Linked DNA regions of Stegostoma tigrinum. The protein of the gene in region 2 interacts with the protein of the main gene of each other region in a pairwise test. Links are inferred from orthologs where the notes say so. Each region holds a gene or a part of one and is shown on either strand. Other genes may lie near its edges. The genes, in order: dihydropyrimidinase-related protein 1-like, tk1, mucin-2-like and erg28.

Region 1 (7,487 bases), on a different chromosome or scaffold from region 2:
AAACACCGACACACACACACACACACACACACACACACGGCGAGACAGACTGGGACGGTCTTTCCAGAAAGAAAGGGCTTACCGTTACGCGGTGCACATCCTGGCCGTCTTGGTTGGACATGTTTGTCTGTGTTTTTGTTTTATTGTGAGCAGAGGAGAAACGGCAGGTTTTCCAGCTCTTAAACTGGATGGGCAATCGACACGCTAACGCTCGATTCTTCTTTTTTTTGCAAAAAGAATATTTATTTGTGAATTGTGTTTTTTGTGGGGGGGGGGGAATGTGAGGCTAGAGAAAGGTGTCAGTCGGCGGCCATCCGGAGGGACTTTGAGTGAGAGCTCCTTCTAGAGACCTGAGAGGACACTGCAGCTGCTCGTAACCTCAGGAAGCGCTTTCCCAGAGCAAGGCGGGGAGCTCCTGTAAATTTTTAATATATGCACGGCAAAGTGGGCGTAGCAGCCAGGGCCAGCATTGGCTGCTCATGCCTGGTTCTGCCGAAGCCACGTTCTCGAGCCTCTGACCCACTGACCGGCCAGGAACAGTCCCACATTTCCAGGTCTGTGACTGTATGAGCGGTGGTCAAATCCTTTGGGTGCGCTGACAGTCTCCCTACCAGTGTGGAAACAGGCCCTTCGGCCCAACAAGTCCACACCGACCCACGGAGCATCCTCCCCACACCCGTCCCCCTCTCACCTACCGAAGCCTACACGTCCCTAGACGCTGCGGGTAATTTAGCATGGCCAATCCATCTAGCCTGCACCTCTTCGAACTGTGGGAGGAAACCCACGCAGACACAGGGAGAATGTGCTCTTGCCCTTTGGTGTGGGGGAGCTAACTGGGTGTGGCAGATGCTGTCAGAGAAGCTTTGGTAGGGTTGCTGCACTGCTACGGTAGATGATACATCTCTACAGCCACTGTGAACCCCGGAGGGACGAGTGCTGGGGGTTATTGGCTCTGTACACACGTAGCAAGTGGGGAGTGCCCCACCGCCCTCTTGTGCCGTGTCCATGGGGAAAACAAGTTCCTCAGTACAATATTCCCCGCTCCCAGGCTCGCTTTAGAGTCATTGCATTCACGTGGCTAGCTCAGATTCTGTTCAGTAGAGATCTCCCCAGGTTTTGTGTGGGCGGTAGGGAATGGGGTTGGCTGCACAAGGATAATCGCACTGCATATCAAAGGAAGCCATCCCATGTTTGCAAATAGCCATTGCCTGATGCTTGTGTGGCACACATAGTACTTGGCACAAGCCTCGATGGTACCCGTGTCTTTGGGCATCGGGGAGCACAGATTGCTTAAGATTTTAAGAGATTCTGCAAGGAATGGTTCCGCCCTCCGATGCCATTCTAAAGCTGCAGTAATCTCAGTTTGGTTCCATGGGTCATCATGGCGAGATATTGAAGCATTGGCTGACCCCCACCCCCCACCCGCCCCAACCTCTTATATAGCGGAAAGTGTATCTTAATGGCTCTTTTCCTCTCGCACCCAACTCTCCCTGTTTGTTGTCTGTAACTTCTCACTGAATCCATGCTGTGCAATGTAAACTGCCGCTTCAGATCCCGCTGTCTTGTTCCAATCCAAGGAAACATCAATGATCACGAAGTACTCTCTAAGATTACTGACGTCCCAAAGACGGCAAGCCCGCATTTCATTCGTCTCTGAATGTGTGCGAATAAAGTCGAATTTATGGGGGGACAGCCTCTTTGTTTGATCATGTTGCTCGGTTCAGGTGGGACGGTGAGGAACTAAAGTCAGGGAGCATTGTGAGAGAAACTCTTTACCCATCCCCCGCTTCTGCGGAAACAGACTGAACTGAAAAGCCCCTCTATTATTGGAAGCATTTTGTGTGAAGAAACGCGAGGGGGAGAATTAGGGTTTGGGGTCAGTCACGTTGCAAACAGACAATAGCTCCCGTGGAGCCAGCAAGGAAAGATGTGGGGAGATGTCCGAAAATTTAAAAAAAAGGCTAATCCCTGATCTTCTTGACACGCTTTTTGAGTGAATGGAAACTACGGCAGCTGGCTGTAGCTGGTTCCACTCCCTCCGGTCTAATCTACAGCTTTCCCTGAAAAAGAGGCGCCAGTTCAATGAAGTCCCCAGAACAAAAGAATCCTTCTGGGTGACTGGAAGGCATTTGCAAGCAGAAATTAGACCTGTTCCGCTCATTGGTTTGCACCCTGGCGTGATATCACCACTTTGGAAGCACTTGTGTACAATTTCGAGACAATAAGTGTTTAAATGAGGACTGTTCCAGTGATGGATAAACTGGGTTAGGTGTGAGGTTTTATGATTGTTTAGGTGAGCAATATAAGATAACGTGTTTGTGTGTGTGTGGAGGTGGGGTGGATGGGAATGGTAATGATGGAGTTTCGCTGGGTACCTTGCCCTGCTCCCAGCCCTGGAGCAGCTCCTTGCCAGTCGGAGGTTTGATCTCCAGCGGACCTCTCTCCTCCCTCTCACCGGGAGAGCTGATGACCGAGCCGGAGACCTCACTGACATCGCTGGCGGTTTCGCTCAGTCCGTCTGACTCCGGTGACAGCAGGTCTTGTCTGCTGGAGCTCCGAGATGCCTTGCAGCTCCGGCGCCCCACGCTGTAGGCATCGAAATCTATTGTCTTCCTCTCGTACGCACCTTCCACGGTGCAGAACATGCCCCCGTATTTCTGCCGGGGCGTTTGAGCCGTGGTGCCCGGTCTGGCCAGGTACACGGGCAGGTCATCTTCCTTGTTCCAATGTCTTTTCTCCTCAGCCATGCCTGGTCCAGTCTCCGAGGAGAGGAGAGAGAGAGAAGGGGAGGGGTGGAATGATAGCACTTATTCTCACTCAACGCCACAGTCTGTCACACTTTCTTGCACACACACACACACACACAGACACACACAGTAGCAAACCAGTAGACCCCCAGCCAGGATCTGACCACTTAAATGAATCCTCTGGGCGACAGGCTATTCCATTCAAAGCCTCCCTGACACGGAAGTAAAAGCGTCAGAATCAATGAGAAAGTGTCGCCGTTGGCTCAGCTAACTCTGTCTCTCCCCCCACCCACCCCGCCCTGTCATTCCTTCCCTTCAAGGAGGGGCTTTGGATTGAATATTCTGTGAGCGGGAGCCGGGAGGGTGAGGGGCGGCGTCGGTCTGAGAGCAACTGTCTGGAGACGATCGATCAAAGTGTATGTGGTGTGTGTGTGAGTGAAAGAGAGAGTGGCAAAGCCATTCACTTCACAGTGAGCTGTCCGTTCAGCACCTCCTGACAGAACTGGCTCAGGGAGCTGGGCCGCGTCTTCGCCCTGAGCTTTGTCTGGGATCAAGCTTTCGTGTTGCTTTATTTTTGTGACCTGACCTCTTCGGAGTTTGCAACAAGTTTGCCCGTCCCTCCTGCACAGTAGAACATAGAACATAGAACAGTACAGCACAGAACAGGCCCTTCAGCCCACAATGTTGTGCCGACCATTGATCCTCATGTATGCACCCTCAAATTTCTGTGACCATATGCATGTCCAGCAGTCTCTTAAATGACCCCAATGACCTTGCTTCCACAACTGCTGCTGGCAACGCATTCCATGCTCTCACAACTCTCTGCGTAAAGAACCTGCCTCTGACATCCCCTCGATACTTTCCACCAACCAGCTTAAAACTATGACCCCTCGTGCTAGCCATTTCTGCCCTGGGAAATAGTCTCTGGCTATCGACTCTATCTATGCCTCTCATTATCTTGTATACCTCAATTAGGTCCCCTCTCCTCCTCCTTTTCTCCAATGAAAAGAGACCGAGCTCAGTCAACCTCTCTTCATAAGATAAGCCCTCCAGTCCAGGCAGCATCCTGGTAAACCTCCTCTGAACCCTCTCCAAAGCATCCACATCTTTCCTATAATAGGGCGCCCAGAACTGGACGCAGTATTCCAAGTGCGGTCTAACCAAAGTTTTATAGAGCTGCAACAAGATCTCACGACTCTTAAACTCAATCCCCCTGTTAATGAAAGCCAAAACACCATATGCTTTCTTAACAACCCTGTCCACTTGGGTGGCCATTTTAAGGGATCTATGTATCTGCACACCAAGATCCCTCTGTTCCTCCACGCTGCCAAGAATCCTATCCTTAATCCTGTACTCAGCTTTCAAATTCGACCTTCCAAAATGCATCACCTCGCATTTATCCAGGTTGAACTCCATCTGCCACGTCTCAGCCCATCTCTGCATCCTGTCAATGTCCCGCTGCAGCCTACAACAGCCCTCTACACTGTCAACGACACCTCCGACCTTTGTGTCGTCTGCAAACTTGCTGACCCATCCTTCAATTCCCTCGTCCAAGTCATTAATAAAAATTACAAACAGTAGAGGCCCAAGGACAGAGCCCTGTGGAACCCCACTCACCACTGACTTCCAGGCAGAATATTTTCCTTCTACTACCACTCGCTGTCTTCTGTTGGCCAGCCAATTCTGTATCCAAGCAGCTAAGTTCCCCTGTATCCCATTCCTCCTGACCTTCTGAATGAGCCTTCCATGGGGAACCTTATCAAATGCCTTACTGAAGTCCATATACACCACATCCACAGCTCGACCCTCATCAACCTTTCTAGTCACATCCTCAAAAAACTCGATAAGGTTTGTAAGGCATGACCTACCCCTCACAAAGCCGTGTTGACTGTATTTGATCAAGCCATGCTCTTCCAGATGGTCATAAATCTTATCCCTCAGAATCCTTTCTAACACCTTGCAGACGACAGACGTGAGACTTACCGGTCTATAATTGCCGGGGATTTCCCTATTTCCTTTCTTGAAGAGAGGAATTACATTTGCCTCTCTCCAGTCCTCAGGTACGACTCCAGTGGAGAGCGAGGATGCAAAGATCTTCGCAAGTGGCGAAGCAATTGCATTTCTCGCTTCCCAAAGCAGCCGAGGACAAATCTGATCCGGGCCTGGCGACTTGTCAATCTTAATGTTTCACAAAATTTTCAGCACATCAGCTTCCTCTATCTCTATCCATTCCAGCATGCACACCTGCTCTTCAAAGGTTTCATTCACTACAAAGTTGGTTTCTTTCGTAAAGACAGAAGCAAAAAACTCATTTAGGGCTTCCCCTACCTCCTCAGGCTCCACACACAAGTTCCCTATGCTATCCCTGATCGGCCCTGCTCTTTCTTTGACCATTCTCTTATTCCTCACATAAGTGTAAAATGCCTTTGTGTTTTCCCGGATTCCTTCTGCCAAGCCTTTCTCGTGCCCCCTCCTGGCTCTCCTCAGACCATTTTTGAGCTCCTTCCTTGCCTGCATGTAATCCTCTCTAGCTGAACTTGACCCTAGCTTCCTCCACCTTATGTAAGCTACCTTCTTCCTTTTCACTAGAAGCTCCACCGCTCTTGTCATCCAAGGTTCCTTAATCTTACCCCTTCTTGCCTGTCTCAGAGGGACATATTTACTCATCACTCCCAACAACTGTTCCTTAAACCATCTCCACATGTCTATAGTTCCCTTACCATGGAACAACTGCTCCCAGTCCATGCTTCCTAACTCGTGTCTAATCGCATCATAGTTTCCTCTTCCCCAATTAAATATCCTCCCATTCTGCCTAATCCTCTCCTTCTCCATAGCTATGTAGAATGTGAGAGAGTTATGGTCACTATCACCAAAATGCTCTCCCACCACAAGATCTGATACCTGCCCCGGCTCGTTTCCGAGCACCAAGTCTAGAATGGCCTCTCCCCTCGTCGGCCTGTCAACGTACTGCGTTAGGAAACCCTCCTGAACACACCTTACAAAAACAGCTCCATTCAAATCTTCTGCTCGAAGGAGGTTCCAATCAATATTAGGAAAGTTAAAGTCACCCATTACAACAACCCTACTGCGTGCACACTTTTCCAAAATCTGTCGACCTATGCTTTCTACAATCTCCCTGCTGCTATTGGGGGGCCTGTAGTAAACCCCTAACGAGGTGACTACTCCCTTGCTGTTCCTAATTTCCACCCATACTGACTCAGTAGGCAGATCTACCCATGGTACTACCCATTACCACTGTTTGAAAAAAAATCCTAGTACTGGAAGAGATATCTGCGTTCTAACTTTATTTTTAAATGTCAAATAATCTATTTGACCACTTACGTCCAGCTCGACCAACAAAACATTTCGAAGTGCAGACACACGGTGAATTCGGATTTGTAGGTGTACAAGGACCTGCGTGTAATAAGTCACAGAAAGCTAACAATTCAGGTACAGCAAGCAATTTAGGGGACACTGGTTTATTCACCTTCATTGCAATGAGATTTGAGTACAGAAGTAAAGGTGCATTGGTTCACTTGCGTGAAATCTTTGAGAGACTCCGCCTGCAGTATTGTGTATAGATTTAGCCCCCATATTTGCAAAATGATATAGTTGCAAAAGTGCAGCGTAGGTTCAAGAGACTTACTGGTGACATGGATGCACTGTCATCTGAGAGGTTGAGGAGACAAAGACAATACTGCCTCATACTTCAAAGAATGAGAGGTAATCTCCTTGAAAGTCACACAATCCTTAAGGCGCTGCACAGGTTTTAGGCAAAAGGGATGTTCCCCTGGCTGTGTGAGCTAGGAAACAGTCTCAAAATATGGGGCAGGCCATTTGGAGCGGAGACGACAAGGATTTTCTTCACTCAGAGGCAATGAATCTTTGGAATTCTCTACATAGGTGGACTGTGGAAGGTCAGTCATTGAGAATATTCAAGAAAGAAATCAATAGCATTCTGGATACAACTGACATTAACAGAAAGGGGATCATTGTAGTAGATTATCAATAAACATCTCAAATAATGGAGCAGACTTGAGAAACTGAATGGCCTACTTCTCCTATTTTCAAATGAGCAGGGACTATTCTGTAGCTCGTCTATTCTCCCATTAGATCATGGTTGATGTAAACCTCAACTCAACTCACTTGTCTTTTCCCCCATATCATCCAATAGATTTTATGAACCAATTTCTTCGCCTCATAACAATAAATGCAATTGTTTTACAACAAATGCACATTATAAATTAACTTGTTGTCTGCCTTACAGAGTGCAAAGTGTTGCAGGTGGTATAGTGTGATTTACATATACTGCCAAATGCGATGTACCCTGAACATTAAACACCGCTAAAGGAAGTTAATTCATACACATATCTATCATTGGTTACAGGAGCACTCGGAGTTTAGTTCTGTTTTTATGGTAAGCTTTACTTAGAGTGTTACATGATACTTGTGTAATGCTTGATTCAGGTAAACCATTGATCAGGAAAGTTGGTTAAGTTCACCAAATTAAAACTTCTTCATTTAGTTCAATCACATAATGATAAGTGAACAATGTAAAATTGGATGTCCTCTCTATACAAAAATGGTTAATAAATGGTAAAAAAAAAGGTTAATAAATAGAAGACAACTTAGGGTTGAGCACTCAGGGAGATATACACGCAGATCAAGGCATAGTGGCAGTACTGTGTGCCATCAACAAGATGTGCTGTGGCATATCACCAAGATTTCCTCGAAAGCACT
Region 2 (7,098 bases):
TACAGTCAAATGACAGTCTTAGGTCATTTGTGTAAATTTCCACCTCAGTCAGATGGTGGTGGGTTGAACACATTCTAAGCGGACATCCCAGTAAGATACTGAGAAATTGCTGTACTGTTGGAGGTACTGACTTTCCAATGAGGTGTTAGACTAATTCAGAAAAGATTCCACAGACATTTCCCTGAGCTGAAGCCACTGAGATAAGTGTCTGCAGATGCTCACTTCATTTCTCTACTTTTCTAATAATTCTATGAAAGTAATGCTTGACTTTTTAAATCTAGTTTCTTTCACTATTTTGCAGCTAAGTTTGTTGTACCCTTTATACCCAGAATGGTGCTGTGAATGGCGATAGATATTCCATATCTAATGTCCCATTTTTCTCCAAAGTTCTTGAACAATTTCCAACCCATTTTTCCAGGAATTCAGGGCTCTTAGAAGCCCTCCAAATCAGGTTTCAGCCCCTGCCATTGCATCAAGACAGCTCTTATTGAAATCTCAAAGTGAAGTGCTAAGTGGCTCTGACAAAAGGCAAACTATTCCTTCCCATTCTTCTTGACAGGCCTGTGACATTGGTATCCTACAAAGCATCCTCACTGCTATCCAAGATAATAAAATGTGAGGCTGGATGAACACAGCAGGTCCAGCAGCATCTCAGGAGCACCAAAGCTGACGTTTCGGGCCTAGACCCTTCATCAGAGAAGGGGATGGGGTGAGGGTTCTGGAATAAATAGGGAGAGAGGGGGAGGCGGACCGAAGATGGAGAGTAAAGAAGATAGGTGGAGAGGAGAGTATAGGTGGGGAGGTAGGGAGGGGATAGGTCAGTCCAGGGAAGACGGACAGGTCAAGGAGGTGGGATGAGGTTAGTAGGTAGGAGATGGAGGTGCGGCTTGGGGTGGGAGGAAGAACAGGTTAGGGAGGCAGAGACAGGTTGGACTGGTTTTGGGATGCAGTGGGTGGAGGGGAAGAGCTGGGCTGGTTGTGTGGTGCAGTGGGGGGAGGGGACGAACTGGGCTGGTTTTGGGATGCGGTGGGGGAAGGGGAGATTTTGAAGCTGGTGAAGTCCACATTGATACCATTGGGCTGCAGGGTTCCCAAGCGGAACATGAGTTGCTGTTCCTGCAACCTTCGGGTGGCATCATTGTGGCACTGCAGGAGGCCCATGATGGACATGTCATCTAAAGAATGGGAGGGGGAGTGGAAATGGTTTGCGACTGGGAGGTGCAGTTGTTTATTGCGAACCCTCACCCCTATCCCAGGCCCCAAGATGACTTTCCACATTAAGCAGAGGTTCACCTGCACATCTGCCAATGTGGTATACTGCATCCACTGTACCCGGTGTGGCTTCCTCTACATTGGGGAAACCAAGTGGAGGCTTAGGGACCGCTTTGCAGAACACCTCCGCTCGGTTCGCAATAAACAACTAAGCTAAAGGCAGTGCAAGTCGCCATGGAAGTTTTCTTGAATTGCAACAGCAAAAATCGAAGTTTGGAAGTTATGTCACTGGGAAAATGTGAGGCCCACGGCTCTAAATCACCTGATACCCAGTACTAAATGAGCTGAGAAGTGTTAAGGAAAACCAAAATCTTCACTCCCAGCTGTAAACTCCATTGCCTTGCCACTGACTCGATCCCTCTCCCTGGTTACTGTGAGCAGCTGAAGCAAAAAAAAAATTGCATTCTCGGTGTCACAACTGAATTCAGGTGCAGATTTGCCCCAAGAAACGAAATTCCCTCCCCAAAACCTCTTAAATTCTCTTTTCTCCTTTCAGACACTCCCCAAAACATATTTGACAAAATAATGTTCATGGTCACTTGTTCTGAAACCCTACTGGGGTGTCAGATCTTATTTCAAAATGTTCAGTAAAAGGTCCTTGGGACGATAAGGCTCTATATAAACGCGAGTTACTGTTGTTATTGACTCCTCAGTTAATAACTGGAAAGAACGTCCAAAAAAAAGTGTTGAACGTTTCTCAAACTGGGAGATAACACATCAGGGCAGATGGAACATTGAGAGATTTGTAGCAATCGAAACAGATTTGAAACGTTTCCAAGCAGATATTACAGAATGATACACCATTCGGAGGAGAGGAATCGCGGAGATATATCCCAGTGCTGGATGACCAGCAGAGAGAAATAAAGTGTGGATTAAAATCCAGGACACTTTGGTGTCTTGGCCCTGGTAGAAGCGGGAATGAAACTGTGGAATAAAAGCAGAGGCCGGTTTGCGGAACACAGTTGGCCGGAAACAAAACACTTCGCGCCAAGTAGCAAGGAGGTCACCAACAAATTCACAGCCTCAGCGACCAGGCAGAACCTTTCTATCTGAAAGTCTTATTTGAAAAACAAATGCAACGTTATATCTGTTACCTTTTCCCTGAGAACATCGGTCCGAAGATGATCTGTAAATTGCAAAAAGAAAGGAAACATCCTTAAGATCAATTCTCTGATGATAGTGGCGCCTTTGGCGAGATACAGGAAGTGGGATCAAAAACGAAAAAAAAATCAAAACGATTGCAGAAATACTGTCTTAAAATCAGACCCACACCAAGTTTAACATGGGTCAATTTCTGCATATTTATCACAGATTCATTGAGTGAAATAAAAATATCTCAAACAATCTCTACAATGCTGGGTATCTCTTCTAGGAGATTCTGGTCAAGCTTTGTTTTAAAAACAGTGTCCTCGATTATTCTGAAGAATCAACAGTGTGCATTTTTATCCCCCTTACCTGAATCTGACCCTTCACTTTACGCGGAGATGAAACTGGGATTTCTGGGGTGTAGGAACAGTCCATTGTATCAGAAAGTAAAATATAAACAGTTATACAAACACCAGCTGATATAAATAGAAATAAAGATTGTGGAGCGGAAACAAAACAAAATAGATGCCCAGGAAAAAGAATAAAAAGCGAAATATAACAGAGTGATGAAAGATTCTGAGCGCAGAGAGAAACAGCAGAAAAGGGCAAAGCGTTTTCAAATTTAATACCCCCGCCAAAATTACGTCAAGAGATGAAAGTGACAATTTGTTGTCACGTGGGCCGAGCCAGCCAATAGACCTCTTTCAGTGACACTAGCTGATTTGTGAAACACCAAAAAACTACAGGCACCTATGAGATTGGAAGAAATACATTTTTAAGATAGCAGGATTTCCCAAAGTGAAGGTCATCATATCAGAACAATTGAAACATGTTGTCCTCAAATTAAACACAATAATCTACACAAAGAACAATACAGCACAGGAGCAGGTGCGTGCTGACTCATTTTGCCCTTCTGTACTAAAAGTGTCTTCAGTTACACGAGAGATAATGGGAACTGCAGATGCTGGAGATTCCAAGATAATAAAATGTGAGGCTGGATGAACACAGCAGGCCAAGCAGCATCTCAGGAGCACAAAAGCTGACGTTTCGGGCCTAGACCCTTCATCAGAGAGGGGGATGGGGGGAGGGAACTGGAATAAATAGGGAGAGAGGGGGAGGCGGACCGAAGATGGAGAGTAAAGAAGATAGGTGGAGAGGGTGTAGGTGGGGAGGTAGGGAGGGGATAGGTCAGTCCAGGGAAGACGGACAGGTCAAGGAGGTGGGATGAGGTTAGTAGGTAGCTGGGGGTGCGGCTTGGGGTGGGAGGAAGGGATGGGTGAGAGGAAGAACCGGTTAGGGAGGCAGAGACAGGTTGGACTGGTTTTGGGATGCAGTGGGTGGGGGGGAAGAGCTGGGCTGGTTGTGTGGTGCAGTGGGGGGAGGGGATGAACTGGGCTGGTTTAGGGATGCAGTGGGGGAAGGGGAGATTTTGAAACTGGTGAAGTCCATACTCATATTCCGCCTGGGAACCCTGCAGCCATATGGTATCAATGTGGACTTCACCAGTTTCAAAATCTCCCCTTCCCCCACTGCACCACACAACCAGCCCAGCTCTTCCCCCCCACCCACTGCATCCCAAAACCAGTCCAACCTGTCTCTGCCTCCCTAACCGGTTCTTCCTCTCACCCATCCCTTCCTCCCACCCCAAGCCGCACCCCCAGCTACCTACTAACCTCATCCCACCTCCTTGACCTGTCCGTCTTCCCTGGACTGACCTATCCCCTCCCTACCTCCCCACCTACACCCTCTCCACCTATCTTCTTTACTCTCCATCTTCGGTCCGCCTCCCCCTCTCTCCCTATTTATTCCAGTTCCCTCCCCCCATCCCCCTCTCTGATGAAGGGTCTAGGCCCGAAACGTCAGCTTTTGTGCTCCTGAGATGCTGCTTGGCCTGCTGTGTTCATCCAGCCTCACATTCAGTTACACGATCCACTTGCCTCTATTCCCTTCCTGTTCATGTATTCATCCAGGTGCATCTTGAATGTTGCCATTGTGTCTGCTTCCACCGCCTCTGGCAGTGTGTTCCAGGCACTCATTGTTCTTTGTGTGAAAAAAATTGCCTTGCACATCACTTTTAAACTTTGGCCTCCTCTCTACACCCTAAATGACTGTCCCCTAGTTATTAACCTCTCCACCCTGAGAAAAAGCCTCAAAATTCCCACTCTGTCAATGCCATTCACAATCTTATAAACTTCTATCAGAGATAATGGGAACTGCAGATGCTGGAGATTCCAAGATAATAAAATGTGAGGCTGGATGAACACAGCAGGCCAAGCAGCATCTCAGGAGCACAAAAGCTGACGTTTCGGGCCTAGACCCTTCATCAGAGAGGGGGATGGGGGGAGGGAACTGGAATAAATAGGGAGAGAGGGGGAGGCGGGCCGAAGATGGAGAGTAAAGAAGATAGGTGGAGAAGGTGTGGGTGGGGAGGTAGGGAGGGGATAGGTCAGTCCAGGGAAGACGGACAGGTCAAGGAGGTGGGATGAGGTTAGTAGGTAGCTGGGGGTGCGGCTTGGGGTGGGAGGAAGGGATGGGTGAGAGGAAGAACCGGTTAGGGAGGCAGAGACAGGTTGGACTGGTTTTGGGATGCAGTGGGTGGGGGGGGGAAGAGCTGGGCTGGTTGTGTGGTGCAGTGGGGGGAGGGGATGAACTGGGCTGGTTTAGGGATGCAGTAGGGGAAGGGGAGATTTTGAAACTGGTGAAGTCCACATTGATACCATATGGCTGCAGGGTTCCCAGGCGGAATATGAGTTGCTGTTCCTGCAACCTTCGGGTGGCATCATTGTGGCAGTGCAGGAGGCCCATGATGGACATGTCATCAAGAGAATGGGAGGGGGAGTGGAAATGGTTTGCGACTGGGAGGTGCAGTTGTTTGTTGCGAACTGAGCGGAGGTGTTCTGCAAAGCGGTCCCCAAGCCTCCGCTTGGTTTCCCCAATGTAGAGAAAGCCGCACCGGGTACAGTGGATGCAGTATACCACATTGGCAGATGTGCAGGTGAACCTCTGCTTAATGTGGAATGTCACCTTGGGGCCTGGGATGGGTCCCTAAACCAGCCCAGTTCATCCCCTCCCCCCACTGCACCACACAACCAGCCCAGCTCTTCCCCCCCACCCACTGCATCCCAAAACCAGTCCAACCTGTCTCTGCCTCCCTAACCAGTTCTTCCTCTCACCCATCCCTTCCTCCCACCCCAAGCCGCACCCCCAGCTACCTACTAACCTCATCCCACCTCCTTGACCTGTCCGTCTTCCCTGGACTGACCTATCCCCTCCCTACCTCCCCACCCACACCTTCTCCACCTATCTTCTTTACTCTCCATCTTCGGCCCGCCTCCCCCTCTCTCCCTATTTATTCCAGTTCCCTCCCCCCATCCCCCTCTCTGATGAAGGGTCTAGGCCCGAAACGTCAGCTTTTGTGCTCCTGAGATGCTGCTTGGCCTGCTGTGTTCATCCAGCCTCACATTTTATTATCTTATAAACTTCTATCATGGTTTCTTCCAAATCATTTACGTAGATCACAAACAACAGAGGTCCCATCACTGATCTCTGTGGAATACCATTAGTCACAACTCTTCATTCTGAAAATCAACCTACCCCCCCGTCTCCTATGACTAATCTGGTTCTGTATCCATCTTGCCAGCTCATCTGGATACCACGTGACTTCAACTTTTGAACCATTCTGCCATGAGGGACCTTGTCAAAGGTTTTACTGAACATCATCAACTTACACAACATCAACCATTTCTCCCTTATCATTCACCTTCGTCACCTCCTCATGAAAACTTGATCAAGATAGTGAGGCACGACCTCCCCTCCCACAAAACAATGCTGTCTATTGCTAATAATTCAATTTGCTTCTAAATACATATAGATCTTGTTCCTGAGAATCTTTTTCCAATAATTTCCTTACCACCAACGTGAAGTTGTCTACCTCTAATAAGTCAATTTTCTTCTAAATGCATATAGATGTGGTCCCTGAGAATCTTTTCCAATAATCTCCCTATTACCAACATGAGGCTCGCAGGCCTGTAATTATTAAACAATGGGACAACATTGGCTGCACCATTCATGATGTACATCAGTGCCCTGCTGTATTCACTACTGGCATCAAGTCCTGACACACTCAATAGGTAGTGGGGCTTGATTTCCAGCACAATGCCACAGTGAATCCTGACAAGGTTTGGGGTCTCTTTTGCTGGGATTTTGGCGCAAAGACAAGACAAGATTGAATGTGGAGTTAGTGTAAAGGAGAAGGATATACACCAGGTTTTGCATTTAAAAAGTAAGATGACAGTAGAATCTGCAAAACCTTTCCAGCAAATAGAAGAGGCATCTCAGATGAAGAGATCTAAAAGAGACCATAAAAGCCAAAGTAATTGAATTGGCAAGTATGTTAGATGTGCAATTGCCTGTCTGGGCTAAGCAGGCCAAGATAAGTATGAGCATCACAATTGAGCTGGGTAGAAATACATAGAACATAGACATAGAACATAGAACATTACAGCACAGTACAGGCCCTTCGGTCCTCGATGTTGTGCTGACCTGTCATACCGATCTCAAGCCTATCTAACCTACACTATTCCATGTACGTCCATATGCTTGTCCAATGATGACTTAAATGTACCTAAAGTTGGTGAATCTACTACCGTTGCAGGCAAAGCGTTCCATTCCCTTACTACTCTCTGAGTAAAGAAACTACCTCTGACATCTGTCCTATATCTTTCACCCCTCAATTTAAAA
Region 3 (7,963 bases), on a different chromosome or scaffold from region 2:
AGGGAAGATCAGGGGAATGTGGGCGAGGAGTGAGGGGGAGCAGGAGAATGAGGGAAAGTGAGAGCATAGGCTGGGGAAGGAGGGAGAGATGGAAGGAGGTTGGGGGAGATGATAGGGGATAGAGTTGGGATGATAGACCGGGAGGATGGAGAGGGAGACGGTAGATGGAGGGTGGGTTGGTTGGAGAATAGAGGTGGGGGAGAGAGATGGGGGGAGCGGTGTAAGGGGGAGAGAGTTAAAGGGTATGGGAAGAGGGTGTGGAGGAAGGGAGGGTAGGGCTGGACAGAGAGGTGGGGGTGAGGAGGAGGAGCGAGGGTGAGGGAAATTAGTTGTTAGGAGGGTAGGGAAGGAGGCAGAGAGTGTTTGGGGGTTGAGGTGTGGGTGACAGGGATGGTGGGGAAGGGAGAGGAGGACGGGGAGCAGTAAGAGGCGGGTTAAGGGGTAAAAAGGTGGGTGGGTGGAAGGGGGGGAGGGTGGGGGCAAGGGAGAGGCGGAGGAGAATGCGGCAAAAGGAGAGGTGGGTGGGAGACGGTTTGGTTCGGGGGTGGGAGAGCAGGGGGGGGTGGTGTGAGTCTGTGGGAGGAATGGGAGAAGAGTGGGTGGGGCAGGGGGAGGGTGAATAGGGTGGCATATTGATAATGTAAGCAGAGTGGGTGGTTGGGGGGTAGTCGGGGACGGTTGGCGGTGGGGGCTGGTGTGAAGAGAGAGCGGCGAAGGGGACGGTTAGGAGGTTAGAGGAAGATGGGGGAGGGCAGAGAGGGGCGGCAGGCGAAGCGAGATTTGCCTGGGGGGGGGGGGGTGGTGGTGGTGGTGGGGTGGGGGGAGAGAGACGGCGGGGGGGGGATGGTGGTGGTGTTGAGGAAAACATACAGTGGCTACGCGAGTTTAACGCGGCGTTTGAAGGTCCAGCTCTCGCCGTCGGGACAACTGTAAACAACTGGAGTTTGCCCGGGGTGGGGGGTGAAAGAGTGTCTCACTCTGACCCCTCCTCGTTATACCCCCACATCACACTGCCCTCAGTCTGTCCCGTTACCATCAGCAGCACTCTGAAGGACCCGAAATAAAAATCTCAAAGTGCTGGAGAATCTCAGTCGGTCCTGCCGTATCCACGCGAGTCCAGTTATATATACACCCCGTCGGAAAGGTCCGAACAGGAGTCGTGCTGGACTCGATGCGTTAATTAAGTGTTTCTTTTTCTTTTTTAAAGAAAAACAAACAGTTCTAGACTTACAGCACCCGCAGCTACTCCTCTCTATTCTCAGAACCCGAACGCACTGCCCTCACACTCTCCAAGTCTCCCCTCCGCAGCCCAGGCTGTCAAGAGCTGCTCACCGTTCAGAGGAATTCACAGATTTCCCTTCTTTTTATTTTAAAACAAAAAACCGCGGCGCGCTCAGCCTTTGAACCTCCACAGGCCGGTTTCCAACTGCCCGGCGGCTGGCTGAGGCTGTCTGCAACCTGGGAAACCCCTTCAAACCCTCACTGCCGAGGCTGCACCGGGAGGCGGGGTGCGTGCGAATCGTAACCGAAGCAGCCGGCAAAAGTACATTGAAACAGAAAGATCGGCACTTACCACGGAATAGCACCCGAACTGTCGGGGCTCTGCACAATCAGACGTTGTAGGCTGTTCATGGGGATGGGATGAGGCAGGCGCCGTGCCCAGCTCTTTGGATGATTTTGACTGCCCGTAGCCTAGGCTGCTTCAACTGCTCCCTGTTTGGGGCGGCTGTTTCCTTTGCCCCTTCTCCCCTCCCCTCTCATCCGGTGGTAGTCCTGGCGGCGGCGGGTTGTTCTTGTTGTTGCGCTGGCGGTCCCGGGGCCGCTGGGCAGCGCCACCCGGCGGCCGCCGGCGCGACTGCAGGCGGGCTCCCACAATCCTCGGGCCAGCGGGAAAGGGCGCGGGGTGGGCAGCCCCGTCCCCTCAACAACACCAAGAGACGGGGGCCAGCGGATTGCAGCGTCTCACCCCGGAGCAGAAACAAAGCGCACGGGCAGGTCAATCAGGGAGTCCGGCCACGAGGTTGCACCACCTGACAGCCATTAGAAAGCTGTGCCCTTGAAGAAAAACGAGAAGCGTCGTTGATATAACCTGAGGAAGCAGTGGGAGATGAGGCTTGACTCAGTCACGGGCTCAGGGTTTGCTCTGACAGGGGGTGGGGGTAATTACAGCGCCCGGTGGGTAACACTGCGGTTACCCCCGTCCTCATCCAACGGCCGGCGTCTCCACGCAAAAGCCCCGCGGCCACGACGCACGGCCGCTCGCGCACTCTGCCGGTGCTGATTGGGCCACCGGCTCAACCCCGACCTCCGGCGGCCGCCAATCAGAGGCCGCCCCACCCCCTTGGCCCGCGCCACCGCCCTCAGAGGGAACTGGCGCCTACGCGTTGGCCCCTGTCAATCAAAGCTGAGCCCGCCTAGCACCTTCCAGCCCCAGCAACCCCCCTAACCAAGGTAAAAAAAACCCCGAACAGCAACGCTTTGCGTGACCCTACAGGCTCATCTATAAATACATCACTTTTATTGCAGCTAGTATCCAACATGTAATATGAGCCATTAGCACTTCTTTTTGTTGCTTGATTCTTGTTGCAGTTTGAGCCTGTTTTGACATTTAGTCGCAACACTGAACTCATCCAGCAGGGTGACGAGGACGTACAGGGCGGAGCGATTTGGACTCTGATTGCCATTAATAAAACGGTGTTACCTCAAACAGCAATCTGTCGAGACTGCAGTTCCAGCTTTGTTCTCTCCACTGTACACGAAGCAGTTATCTGCGTAGCGTTGTATTTCCTGCCGATAGAATACGGTCTTGTCGGCGCTAGATCTGTGGCATGTTTAGTGCACGTATTAACAATATACAACCCTCATGGCGGTGACACGCTGACGTTTCTGCCGTCAGGTTATTTACCGGCTGATGGCTCGCAAACAGCGCCCGGAAGTTTAGTTTTGTCCTTCCTGACACATGTTGCAATAACAGTATTTCCGTAAAAGGGTCGGTTGTCGCAATCTATTGGTGCATTTTTCAATGCTGCTGATTTTAATTAACCGAAACTGCGTCTTGACCGTCAGCGCGCTCCTCCACCCCGTCTAGTGTGTGGGCGATGCGATCGCCATGATCTGGAAGGTGTGGTTCTAACTGAAAACTGCGCGCCCCCTACAGCGGGCGCTCACGGTGAAGTTAGCTGCTGAGTTATTGTAGTGTATATTTCAAGTTGTTCGGCTGACCCGGCCGTTTTTCCCCCGGGGGCTTAAATGCCATTTACGCATCAGCTGCTGACATTTGAGAGGCCAAGAGAGCTGTTATTACGGTTTGATGTTTTCTTAAGACCTCGGTTTAGAGCTAGTAATTTCAGTTTGAGGCATCGCCACGTGTTCTTATACGTTTTCTTCCTCCATTCTCAAAAATAGGCCGTGGCTGAAAAAGTAGATGAACGAATTTATTTGACTTCTGCAGGAACACTCAAAATACACGTGTGTATGTGTGGTGTTGCATTTCTCCTTGCATGTTTGTGTTTTGTCCACGCGTGTCTATGTTTTTCCATGTGTTCCATCGTAATGTATACTTTGTTTCAAATCTATAAGTATAGTTCATGTGTGGGCTTGATTAGACCCTTAGTGGTTGTTCGTTTCGTCCCTGACACTGAAGTGAGTGTGTTTCATCTCTGTTAGTCAGAGTGTGTCGCCTCTGAGTCTGTGAAGATATGCTCGCTCCCTGTGTGTTTATCATTTGTTCAATGGATGTGCGCTTGTTATCCACCCCCAGTTGTTCGGGAGAGCTGCATCTGCCTTTTGCTCACAATAGATGCGTTGTCCCCTGTTTCAGTTGCTTTGACCCTGTGTTTATGTGTGTGTTTGTCCCTGCCGGTGTCTTCTATCCTTGTACATGTGTTTGTTTTTATGGATCTGTCCCACTTTGTGCATTTTGGAGCTTTGGCCCAGTAAGCGATTGCGTTGTCCTTCACTTTATCTATTCTGTCTATTTGCACGCTTCTCCAAAGTGTGTTTTGTCCATGTATCAGTAGGTGGTGTATTCTCCCAGTATGTTCGTGTACTGTTTGACCCCGTGTGTATTTCTCCTGTGTTGCTTCTGCTCCTGTGCGTGTATTTTGTGTGCCTGTATCCTGTGTGCCTGCGGAGCACCCCTCCACCCGAATTAAGCTGTTTTACTCTATGCTAATGGAGCTAACCCTGTGTGTCTGAATTTTGCCCAGAATATGTGTTTTTCCCTTATGTATGTTTTCTCCCTTGTGTATGCCCTTTGCCTCGTGTGCAAATGAGGCTTACTCTTGTGTATGACTTTGTATTTGCCCATTCAACGTGGCGTTGCCCCATATATATATGGAGTTTGCCCCTGTATGTGTATGGGGCTTGCCCCATTGTGATGTGGAGATCTGTTCTCTCCTGTGTGAGAGTTTGATGAACGGCCTACTTCGCTGTTTTTGTGTTGCTAGGCATCTTCAGAACTTGTGGGGAGGAAAGTTCTATTTTTAATAATAAATGAATCCTTTTATTTTAGTAAAGAAGGTAGATCTCTGCCTTTTTTTTCTTTCTGATGCCTTTCACCCAACCTGGTGAACCTTTACTGGTAATATGCGCGCGCCTTCCTTTTAATTCTCGAGATTCTCGATGGCGGCGTTAGCCCCCCAGCGTTTCACAGTACACTTTCACACTAAGTCGAAAAAAATTCTGCTCGAATCGATTCAGATGGATTCCAGTTACAACTTTGACAAGTACGACGCGTTTTGACTTATAGGTAGTACAACCGTCAGCTGACCCGAGTACATGGTGTGTGGGCGGCAGGAAATCCTGTGTCAGAGTGAAACCGCTGCCTAGCCTTCTGCTGTCGTCGCTGGAACCTTTCCCATGCACTAACATTTCCTCTCCATTTAATGCAGTCCGAAAATTTCTGTATCGGGCTTGTGCCTTGTTTCGCGTCAAAATCGAACCGAATGAGAACCGAGCGGGTCACGCACAGAAACCAGTAAGCGGAAGTGGAGGGACTGGACTCAAAATGTTAACTGTTTCTCACTTCACAGATGTTACCAGACATGCTGAGTTTCTCTGGCGCATTCTGATTTTGTTCCGGATTTCCAGCACCTCCAGTCCTTCGTTTTTAATTCTCTCCTGTTCCTTCCTTACAAAATTGACGAAAGTAAAGGGACAGTGACAGCAGAAGCAAATGGTGTTGGTGTGTTCACTGTCTGCAAGAGACACTTGCTTGCGGAGTTTATGTTGAAAGCCGAACCGAGTCTATCAAAGACCTCAGCCTGGTTCTTTCGTTTCCTGATAAACTCTGCCTTCTCTTTACGTAACTCTGTGAACACTGACTGACTCACACACGGCCAGAGCCTCTGCTGATCGCTGACTCACACTGTTTGCGTACTCGGCAACTGCCTACATCGATGTAACACTCAATATACACTCCCAGAAACAAGAGGTCGTGGTAACCTTTTACAATACTCTGGGTGAAGGGTCAGATGCGGTTCTGAGCGCCGTAATTTGACACTGGAGAGAGTGAAGGTGAAATTCACCAGAATGGTTGCGGGGGTGGGGGAATTTCAGTTTGAGGATAGATTTGAGAGATTTGGGACAGCTCTTGGAAAAGTGAAGGCTTGGGACTAGATTTGATCGAGGTGTTCGAATATGAGGGACCTGGGCAGACTGTATAAGGAACTTTTTTTTCTCATTGGTGAAAGTAGTGAGAATGAAAGGAGACAGATTAGAAAATCATTTGTAAAATGAGCAAGCGAGACGTGAGTAAATAATACGTGTTACATACCGAGTGCTTAGTGTTCTGAATACACGATCTGCCAGTCTGCTGGAGACACGGATGATCGAGACATTCAAGTGGGCCCTCGATGATTATTTGCAAAAAGGAAATAATGTGTAAGGTTGCGTGAAGGGAAATTTCATTCAGAGACCCGGCGCAGGCATAATGGCCCGAATAGCCCCTCCTGCACCGTCGCAATCCTGTGATTCTGTGAGGTGATAATTGACATGGACTTGTGTTGAACCCAATACAGTATCCAGGAGCAAGGAAACATGTTAGGGACCCCAGCAGTTTCATTGATGAAGCCATCTATCTTTCCCATTGGCCTGGAGTGATTGGCTTTCGAATGTTTATGCACTTCATATCAGGCAGTGCCTTCAGCTCATAGCTCCACCATGACAATGTTTCTTCATGTTGTGTCTGCCTGTTTACCGACCAAACCCCTTAAGCGGGAGCCCGCTTCTCACCAGTTTCCTCGCCGACATAAACTCTATTCCAAAGCGGAGAGACCAGGCCTCCTCCGGCCGTTCCAACCCAAGCTGAAGGCTTTCATTCCCGGTACGACCCTAAAAATCTCTTCAGCACCCTTCTGACGTCTTTTCTGAATTATTGCCCGGGACTAACCAGTGCATTCCAAAATCAGAGTGTTGTCTATGGCAGAGTAAAAGGCCTTTCGGCCCATCGAGTCTGCGCCGGTTAAAACCAGCCACCTAACTACTCTAATCCCGTTTTCCAGGATTTGTCCCATTGTATGTCTTGGCATCTCAAGTGTACATGGAAACACTTCTTAAATGTTCTGAGGGTGTCTGTCTCTACCTCTCGTATCGTGTTCCAGATTCCCGTTGCCCTCTGGGTGAGAAGAAATCTTCGCATAATTTCCTATTCACGAACGTAAAAGTTTCATTATCTCTTTATCCGTTTTTGAGTTTAGTTATGGCTGTTATGCACGGAAATCGGTAAAACAAGATCTCACAGGCAAGTAAATTAATCACCGAGGCACTGGAATGGAGTTACGGCTATGATCCAATTGACTGGCCAAGTAGCGGAGCTATGTCCCTTTGCCCTTATGAACGAACGTTTGATTTGGGGGTTTTGGCGTCTTAGTTTACTGGAGGTATGTTTCCCAAGTCAACTGTTTGCACTTAAGTTAACAATCTCTTCCCCAAGTCAGCAGGGCGGAAGAGCTGGTCATTGATTTCAGGAAGCAAGGTGGAGGGCACGCCCCTGTCCACATGGTGTTGAGGTGGAGATGTTCCAGGGCGTCTAGGTCCTGGAAGTGATGATCACCGACGCTAAGGTCAAGAAAGCACAACAATGCTTCCACTTTCTCAGGACGCTAAGGAAATTCGGCTTGTCCTCAAAGACTTTTACCAAGTATTATAGATGCACTATAGAAAGCATTCTACTTGAGTGCACCACGGCTTGGTATGGCAAAAACTCTGCCCAGGACCGTAAGAAACCGCAGCGAGTTGTGAACACAGCCCAGTCCATCACTCAAGCCATCCTCCCACCCGCTGACTCCACCTACTCGTCCTCTGCCTCAGAAAGGCAGCCGACATGATCAAAGACCCCTCAAATCCCAGTTATAACTCTTCTAACCTCTTCCATTGGGCAGAAGATACAAAAGCTTAAACACACCGACCAACAGTTTCAAGAACAACTTCTTCCGGGCTCTTCCTGGTTTCTGATTGGACCCCTCAAGTTTTAAATTTAATATTGCTCTCGGTCTTCGTTTACCTTCCCTGTAGCCCTAGCATTGTACTCCTCGCGCTCTTCTATTACCCTAAGGCACTTTGAATAATATGATCTTCCTGTACTGCATGCAAAACACAACTTTTCACTGCACCTAGGTACATGTGACAATCATAAATGAAATCAAATCAGACCAAAATCAAAATTCCATTGACGAGGACTTTTACTATCCTGTAAAACAGCTGCAAAAGGCGGACGGTTTCGGATAATAACCATTGTATTTCCGAATAGTACTTCAGCCTAAACAGTGCGTTTAAAACAGGATCAGGTAGAGCTTAAGATTTTATTGTTTAACTGTTCACCAAATTGTATGTTGTTTGAACCGTTAGATGAAGGACGATTCTCTTAATAAGTGAGCGGGAGATGAAAACATATTTCACCATGTGAGATAGGGATGAGCACACCTTCCAATACGCTTTTTAAATCACTGGATTGGTGAGAGAC
Region 4 (7,995 bases), on a different chromosome or scaffold from region 2:
GCCCACTCCCTCAGCACTGACCCTCCGACAGCGCCCACTCCCTCAGTACTGACCCTCCGACAGCGCCCACTCCCTCAGTACTGACCCTCCGACAGCGCCCGCTCCCTCAGTACTGACCCTCCGACAGTGCCCGCTCCCTCAGCACTGACCCTCCGACAGTGCGGCGCTCCCACAGCACTGACCCTCCGACAGTGCGGCGCTCCCACAGCACTGACCCTCCGACAGCGCCCGCTCCCTCAGCACTGACCCTCCGACAATTCCCACTTCCTCAGCACTGACCCTCTGACAGTGCCCGCTCCCTCAGCACTGACCTTCCGACAGTGCGGCGCTCCCTCAGCACTGACCCTCTGACAGTGCCCGCTCCCTCAGCACTGACCCTCTGACAGTGCGGCGCTCCCATAGCACTGACCCTCTGACAGTGCGGCGCTCCCACAGCACTGACACCCCCCGACAGTGCGGCGCTCCCTCAGCACTGACCCTCCGACAGTGCGGCGCTCCCTCAGCACTGACCCTCCGACAGTGCGGCGCTCCCTCAGCACTGACCCTCCGACAGTGCGGCGCTCCCTCAGCACTGACCCTCCGACAGTGCCTGCTCCCTCAGCACTGACCCTCCGACAGTGCCCACTTCCTCAGCACTGACCCTCCGACAGTGCGGCGCTCCCTCAGCACTGACACCCCCCGACAGTGCCCACTCCCTCAGCACTGACCCTCCGACAGTGCCCGCTTCCTCAGCACTGACCCTCCGACAGTGCCCGCTCCCTCAGCACTGACCCTCCGACAGTGCCCGCTTCCTCAGCACTGACCCTCCGACAGTGCCCGCTCCCACAGCACTGACCCTCTGACAGTGCGGCGCTCCCACAGCACTGACCCTCTGACAGTGCCCACTCCCTCAGCACTGACCCTCTGACAGTGCAGCGCTCCCTCAGCTCGGACCGTCCGACAGTGCAGCGCTCCCTCAGCTCGGACCGTCCGACAGTGCGGGACTCCCTCAGCACTGACCATCCGACAGTGCGGCACTCCCTCAGCACTGACCCTCCGACAGTGCCCACTCGCTCAGCACTGACCCTCCGACAGTGCCCACTCGCTCAGCACTGACCCTCCGACAGTGCGGCACTCCCACAGCACTGACCCTCCGACAGTGCGGCGCTCCCTCAGCACTGACCCTCCGACAGTGCGGCGCTCCCTCAGCACTGACCCTCCGACAGTGCGGCGCTCCCACAGCACTGACCCTCCGACAGTGCGGCGCTCCCTCAGCACTGACCCTCCGACAGTGCGGCGCTCCCTCAGCACTGACCCTCCGACAGTGCGGCGCTCCCTCAGCACTGACCCTCCGACAGTGCGGCGCTCCCTCAGCACTGACCCTCCGACAGTGCCTGCTCCCTCAGCACTGACCCTCCGACAGTGCCCACTTCCTCAGCACTGACCCTCCGACAGTGCGGCGCTCCCTCAGCACTGACACCCCCCGACAGTGCCCACTCCCTCAGCACTGACCCTCCGACAGTGCCCGCTTCCTCAGCACTGACCCTCCGACAGTGCCCGCTCCCTCAGCACTGACCCTCCGACAGTGCCCGCTTCCTCAGCACTGACCCTCCGACAGTGCCCGCTCCCACAGCACTGACCCTCTGACAGTGCGGCGCTCCCACAGCACTGACCCTCTGACAGTGCCCACTCCCTCAGCACTGACCCTCTGACAGTGCAGCGCTCCCTCAGCTCGGACCGTCCGACAGTGCAGCGCTCCCTCAGCTCGGACCGTCCGACAGTGCGGGACTCCCTCAGCACTGACCATCCGACAGTGCGGCACTCCCTCAGCACTGACCCTCCGACAGTGCCCACTCGCTCAGCACTGACCCTCCGACAGTGCCCACTCGCTCAGCACTGACCCTCCGACAGTGCGGCACTCCCACAGCACTGACCCTCCGACAGTGCGGCGCTCCCTCAGCACTGACCCTCCGACAGTGCGGCGCTCCCACAGCACTGACCCTCCGACAGTGCGGCGCTCCCACAGCACTGACCCTCCGACAGTGCGGCGCTCCCTCAGCACTGACCCTCCGACAGTGCGGCGCTCCCTCAGCACTGACCCTCCGACAGTGCGGCGCTCCCACAGCACTGACCCCCCGACAGTGCGGCGCTCCCACAGCACTGACCCTCTGACAGTGCCCGCTCCCTCAGCACTGACCCTCCGACAGTGCCCACTCCCTCAGCACTGACCCTCCGACAGCGCCCGCTCCCTCAGTACTGACCCTCCGACAGCGCCCGCTCCCACAGCACTGACCCTCCGACAGTGCGGCGCTCCCTCAGCACTGACCCTCCGACAGTGCGGCGCTCCCTCAGCACTGACCCTCCGACAGTGCGGCGCTCCCTCAGCACTGACCCTCCGACAGTGCGGCGCTCCCACAGCACTGACCCTCCGACAGTGCGGCGCTCCCACAGCACTGACCCTCCGACAGTGCGGCGCTCCCACAGCACTGACCCTCCGACAGTGTGGCACTCCCTCAGCACTGACCCTCCGACAGTGCGGCGCTCCCACAGCACTGACCCTCTGACAGTGCCCGCTCCCTCAGCACTGACCCTCCGACAGTGCCCACTCCCTCAGCACTGACCCTCCGACAGCGCCCGCTCCCTCAGTACTGACCCTCCGACAGTGCCCACTCCCTCAGCACTGACCCTCCGACAGCGCCCGCTCCCTCAGCACTGACCCTCCGACAGTGCCCACTCCCTCAGCACTGACCCTCCGACAGCGCCCGCTCCCTCAGCACTGACCCTCCGACAGTGCCCACTCCCTCAGCACTGACCCTCCGACAGCGCCCGCTCCCTCAGCACTGACCCTCCGACAGTGCCCGCTCCCTCAGCACTGACCCTCCGACAGTGCCCACTCCCTCAGCACTGACCCTCCGACAGCGCCCGCTCCCTCAGTACTGACCCTCCGACAGCGCCCGCTCCCACAGCACTGACCCTCCGACAGTGCGGCGCTCCCTCAGCACTGACCCTCCGACAGTGCGGTGTATAAAAAAAAATCGCTTGTCCAATCTCCCACCCTCCTCCGTTGCCGATTGGCTTGGGGTGGTCTATCGGGTGGAGTGTTCATGTTTGGCAGACGTCTGCACCAATCAAACACCTAGACGTCACCGCCTGATTCTGCTCTATGCTGATTGACTACGAGCACCGCGCCCATTCTCCACCTTTTCATTCTCCTTCTTCCCAGTGGTTTCGTATTTAATTCTGTATTTCCCGTTTTTTTAGTTAATTCTCCATTTCCCCGGATTTTATTATTTAATTCCCCTTTTCCCGGGGGTTTATATTTAATTGTGCATTTCCCAGGAGTTTAGTATTTAATTCTCTTCTGTATTTTTTGGGGATTTATTATTGAATTCTCCATTTCCCGGGAGTTTATTATTTAATTCTGCATTTCCCAGAGATTTGTTATTTAATCCTCTATTTCCTGGAGGTTTATTATTTAATTCTCTATTTCCCGGGAGTTCATTATTTCATTCTCTAATTCTCAGGAGTTTATCATTTAAGTCTCCTTTTCCAGGGAGTTTATTATTTCATTCTGTATTTTCCAGGAGTTTATTATTTAATTCTGTATTTCCCCGGATTTATTATTTAATTCTCCAAATCCCAGGAGTTTATTATTTCATTCTCTATTTCTCAGGAGTTTATCATTTAAGTCTCCTTTTCCAGGGAGTTTATTATTTCATTCTCTATTTTCCAGGAGTTTATTATTTAATTCTGTATTTCCCGGGTTTTATTATTTAATTCTCCAATTTCCAGGAGTTTATTATTTCATTCTCTATTTTCCGGGAGTTTATTTCAAATGACTCATTTCAAAGAACTATAGAATCTGTACAGTCTGGAAGCAGGCCATTTGGCCCATTGAGTTACACCGACCCTCCGACCAGCTTCTCAGACAATTCCTTTATTTCCCATGGTTAATCACATCCCTGGGCACTATGGTGCAATTTCCCACATTCAGTCCACCCTAACCTGCACATCTTTGGACTGTGGGAGGAAACCAGAGCACCTGGAGGAAGCCCACACAGACACGGGGAGAATGTGCAAACTCCACACAGTCACTGCATTTCCCCCGGATCATTGTTATTGATCGACTCCTGGGGCTTTATAATTGAATTCTCCATTTCACTAGGGATTATTTTTAATTTCCCTTTTCCAAGGTTTATTATTTAACACCCCATTTCTCAGATGTTTGCTATTTTACCCTCCATTTCTCAGTGGATTATTATTTAATACATTTGCAGTTCTTTCGGATTTTATTATTTAATGTCCCCTTACATGACAGTTTCTTCTTTCATGCTCCTTAACTAGGGGCTTATTATTTCTTGCACCATTATTTGGGAGTTCATTAATTAATGTTCTATTTCTGACTAAAGGGCTGCCTTTGAAAGCTTGTGATTTCAAATAAAACCGTTGGACTATTACCTGATGTCGTGTGACTTCTGACTTTGTCCACCCCAGTCCAGCACTGGCACCTCCACATCTTTGCTACATTTGAACATTGTATGGGTCTACATATTGTTAGTCTGTAAACTGTGAAAAAGAAGTTGAACAGTGGTACATAGCTCAATGTACCAAGAGAGTCTTGGATTTGAAAATGATTTGGGATTGTGGATCAAATGTTTTAGTTTCAAAGGATTACATTATTTTTCACAGCAGTGAGATGGATACTTTATGAGTGGCACCACAGTATCTTCATATACAAATCAGACATGATCTTAAAGAATTGCACTGTAAGCTCATGGGATGGAATTAACTATTTCTGCTCCTAATTCATAAATTTATAATTCAATGACCACCTGGGACAAAAGGGCAATTTAATAAATTTCACAAGACAATTCAATGATAAACAGCCAGAAAATAAGAGAAAATTGGAGCAGCTGTAGTGATTCTGCTCTTCAAATCTGCTCCATTTATTGCATTGATGGTTTATCATCCAACTCATTCTTGAAATCATATAGAACAGGGGGAATTCCATAATCCACAGCCTCAGAGTGAAGGGACAACACTTCAGAACTGAGATGAGGAGGAATTTCTTCAGCCAGAAGCTGGTGGATCTGTGTAACATGTTGCCTTGGAAGGCTGCAGAGGCCAACTCACTCAGTGTATTTAAGAGATAGATAGGTTCTTGATTGGTGAGAGGATCAAGGGTTATGGGGAGAATTCAGGGGAAGTAGGTTAAGAAACAGATCTGCCAAGATTGAATGGTGGAGTAGTCCTGACGAGTTGAATGGCCTAATTCAACTCCTGTACGTTATGGTCTATGGTCTAACAAATATCCAAGACAGAGACTGCAGCACATACCACTGTGGGATTCCACTGGCCACATCTTGGCAATAACACAAAGATCCATTTATGCATACTTCCTGTGTTTTGGCAACCAGTTAATCTATCCATGTTAATTAAATGAAGTTTTGTTTTTCATATTAACCTTTGATGTAGCACCATGTCAAATGCGTTTCGGAAATCCGAATAAATTAGATTTACACTCTCCCCTTTATCCATAGCGGCTGTTAGTTCTTTGAAGTGCTGCAATAATTTGGTTAAACTTGATTACCCTTTCATAACGTTACCCTCAACATTGAATATGTTGAGCTTTTCTCAGTGCACAGCTGTAGTTTCTTTAGTGATTGACTCACTGCTGCTCTTTATATTCTGCCAAACATTTGACCAGCCACTCTTTTTTTTTCAGTGATAGGGTGTTTTCCTTAAGTTTGATGCTTTCCCTAACTACTTTATTTAACCGTAGATTGTGGGCAGACCTTTTTGAATTTTTCTTTATAGGAGGAAAATAGCTCCTTAAATGCCTGTCAAAGTTTCCCTAACTTTAAGTCCACAGTACATAGGAGTAGAAGTAGCTCACTGAATCTGCTCCATCATTCAATGACACTACAGCTGATATGAGAATTATTGGCTCCACTTTCCAGCCTTTTTCCCCATAATTCCCCCACTGATTAAAGATCTATCTCAGCCTTGAACATACTTATAATCCCTAGACTAGCATGCCGGTTCACTTAGGCTAGCCTAGCTTTCATGCCCACTAGTTGCTCTTACTTAGGTTTAAAAGAGGGCATTAATTAATCCTGTCACATTACACAATACCAAGTCCATTTTAGTTTGCTATAAAAGCAATATAACTTTAGGCATAGCAGATAAGGGAACGATATGAGAAGGGGGTAGTTAGCGAAAGACTGAAGGTGTTGTACTTAACGGCACACAGTGTATGAGAAAAGGGAAACAAGATTGAACACAGATTGAAATTGGCAGATATGTTGTTGTGAGTATTAGAGAGGTGTGGTTGCAAAGGGATAAGAGATCTCCGGTATGTTTCTTCTTCCTTGGGGATGAATTTCTGACATGCCTCCCAAACGAGCTCCAGAAAATCCAGTGCTGCTCTTCCCTGATAGGCTCCCTTCCAACCAACTTTGACCAACTCCTCCTTCACGTACTTATAGTCACCGTTCCTCAATTGTAAAACAGTTAACACAGTGTGGAGCTGGAGGAACACAGCAGGTCAGGAAGCATCACAGAAACAGGAAAGTCAACATTTTGGGTCAGGGCCCTTCATCAGAACTCTGCTGCCTGACCTGCTGTGTTCTTCCAGCTCCACACTGTGTTGACTCTGACTCCAGCGTCTACAGTTCTCGCTATCTCTGTAAACCCCATACATCTGATTCCACTTTCTCCTCTCAAGCTGCAGGGTGGATTCTATCACATTGTGGTCACTGTCCTCCAGGGCCTCCTTAAACCCTAATCAAGTTTGCCTCATTACACATCACCAAATCCAAAACAGCCTGTCCCCCAGTGGGCTCGATGACAACGGCTCCAAAAAAATTCTCATAGTCATTCCACAAATACTATACTCAATGTACTGGCTAATAAAGGGAATCAACAGGAGATTTTGTGGTCAGGATTGGGATTCCCGGAAGGTATGTTGCCTCCCTGGTGCCAGGGTCCGGGAAGTCTCCGATCAGGTGTATAAGGTTCGAAAAGGGGAGGGCCAACAGCCAGAAATCGTGTTACATATTGGCACTAATGATATAGCCAGAAATAGGATTCAGGATATAAAAAGTGATTTCAGGGAGTTAGGATGGAAGCTGCAAAGCAGGACCAACAGAGTAGTGTTCTCTGGTTTACTACCGGTGCCACGAGATAGCGAGACGAGGAACAGGGAGCGGGCGCAGCTTAACACGTGGCTACGCAGCTGGTGTAGGAGGGAGGGCTTCAGATATGTAGATAATTGGGATGCCTTCTGGGGAAGGTGGGACCTATACAAGGAGGACGGGTTGCATCTGAACTGGAAGGGGACCAATGTCCTGGGTGGAAGGTTTGCTCGAGTAGTTCGAGAGGGTTTAAACTAGTATGGCTGGGGGGTGGGAACCTGAGCTGTATACCGGAGGTGAGAGTTGATGCAGGTGAGGCAGTAGCAAGAGGTAGACCAGCTAGTGGGAAGGATTTTCCTGGAAAGGAACCAAGGGATCAGTTAAAGTGTGTTTGCTTTAATGCAAGGAGTATCAGGAATAAAAGTGATGAACTTAGAGCATGGATCAGTACCTGGTGCTATGATGTTGTGGCCATAACAGAGACATGGGTTTCTCATGGGCAGGAATGGTTGCTGGATCTTCCAGGGTTTAGAACATTTAAAAAGAATAGGGAGGGTGGGAAAAAAGAGGAGGGGGTGTAGCACTACTAATCAGAGAGGGTATCACAGCTACAGAAGCTTCCATTGTCGAGGAAGATCTGCCTACCGAGTCAGTATGGGTGGAAATTAGGAACAGCAAGGGAGTAGTCACCTCGTTAGGGGTTTACTACAGGCCCCCCAATAGCAGCAGGGAGATTGAAGAAAGCATAGGTTGACAGATTTTGGAAAAGTGTGGACGTAGTAGGGTTGTTGTAATGGGTGACTTTAACTTTCCTAATATTGATTGGAACCTCCTTCGAGCAGAAGATTTGAATGGAGCTGTTTTTGTAAGGTGTGTTCAG

What was found.
Region 1: the proteins of tk1 (region 2) and dihydropyrimidinase-related protein 1-like interact in a two-hybrid assay, tested with the Homo sapiens proteins (2 studies listed by BioGRID and IntAct). The link is inferred for Stegostoma tigrinum from reciprocal best matches to the Homo sapiens genes TK1 and CRMP1.
Region 3: the proteins of tk1 (region 2) and mucin-2-like interact in a two-hybrid assay, tested with the Homo sapiens proteins (2 studies listed by BioGRID and IntAct). The link is inferred for Stegostoma tigrinum from reciprocal best matches to the Homo sapiens genes TK1 and LRIF1.
Region 4: the proteins of tk1 (region 2) and erg28 interact in a two-hybrid assay, tested with the Homo sapiens proteins (2 studies listed by BioGRID and IntAct). The link is inferred for Stegostoma tigrinum from reciprocal best matches to the Homo sapiens genes TK1 and ERG28.

The regions. Positions count from the first base shown.
Region 1 is NC_081354.1:18,242,258-18,249,744, forward strand, and holds the start of dihydropyrimidinase-related protein 1-like, read right to left. Parts: upstream 3,004-7,487; 5' UTR 2,748-3,003; coding exon 2,376-2,747; intron 357-2,375; exon of another isoform or gene 122-356; coding exon of another isoform or gene 83-121; intron 1-82.
Region 2 is NC_081375.1:15,188,055-15,195,152, forward strand, and holds the start of tk1 (thymidine kinase, cytosolic), read right to left. Parts: upstream 3,004-7,098; 5' UTR 2,794-3,003; coding exon 2,728-2,793; intron 2,399-2,727; coding exon 2,367-2,398; intron 1-2,366. UniProt on the Homo sapiens protein: Cell-cycle-regulated enzyme of importance in nucleotide metabolism. Catalyzes the first enzymatic step in the salvage pathway converting thymidine into thymidine monophosphate.
Region 3 is NC_081374.1:46,712,937-46,720,899, reverse strand, and holds the start of mucin-2-like, read right to left. Parts: upstream 3,015-7,963; 5' UTR 2,702-3,014; intron 2,278-2,701; exon of another isoform or gene 2,056-2,277; 5' UTR 1,633-2,055; coding exon 1,574-1,632; intron 1-1,573. UniProt on the Homo sapiens protein: Together with SMCHD1, involved in chromosome X inactivation in females by promoting the compaction of heterochromatin.
Region 4 is NC_081363.1:871,688-879,682, reverse strand, and holds the start of erg28 (ergosterol biosynthetic protein 28 homolog), read right to left. Parts: upstream 3,015-7,995; 5' UTR 2,986-3,014; intron 1,262-2,985; exon of another isoform or gene 1,130-1,261; intron 530-1,129; exon of another isoform or gene 150-529; intron 1-149.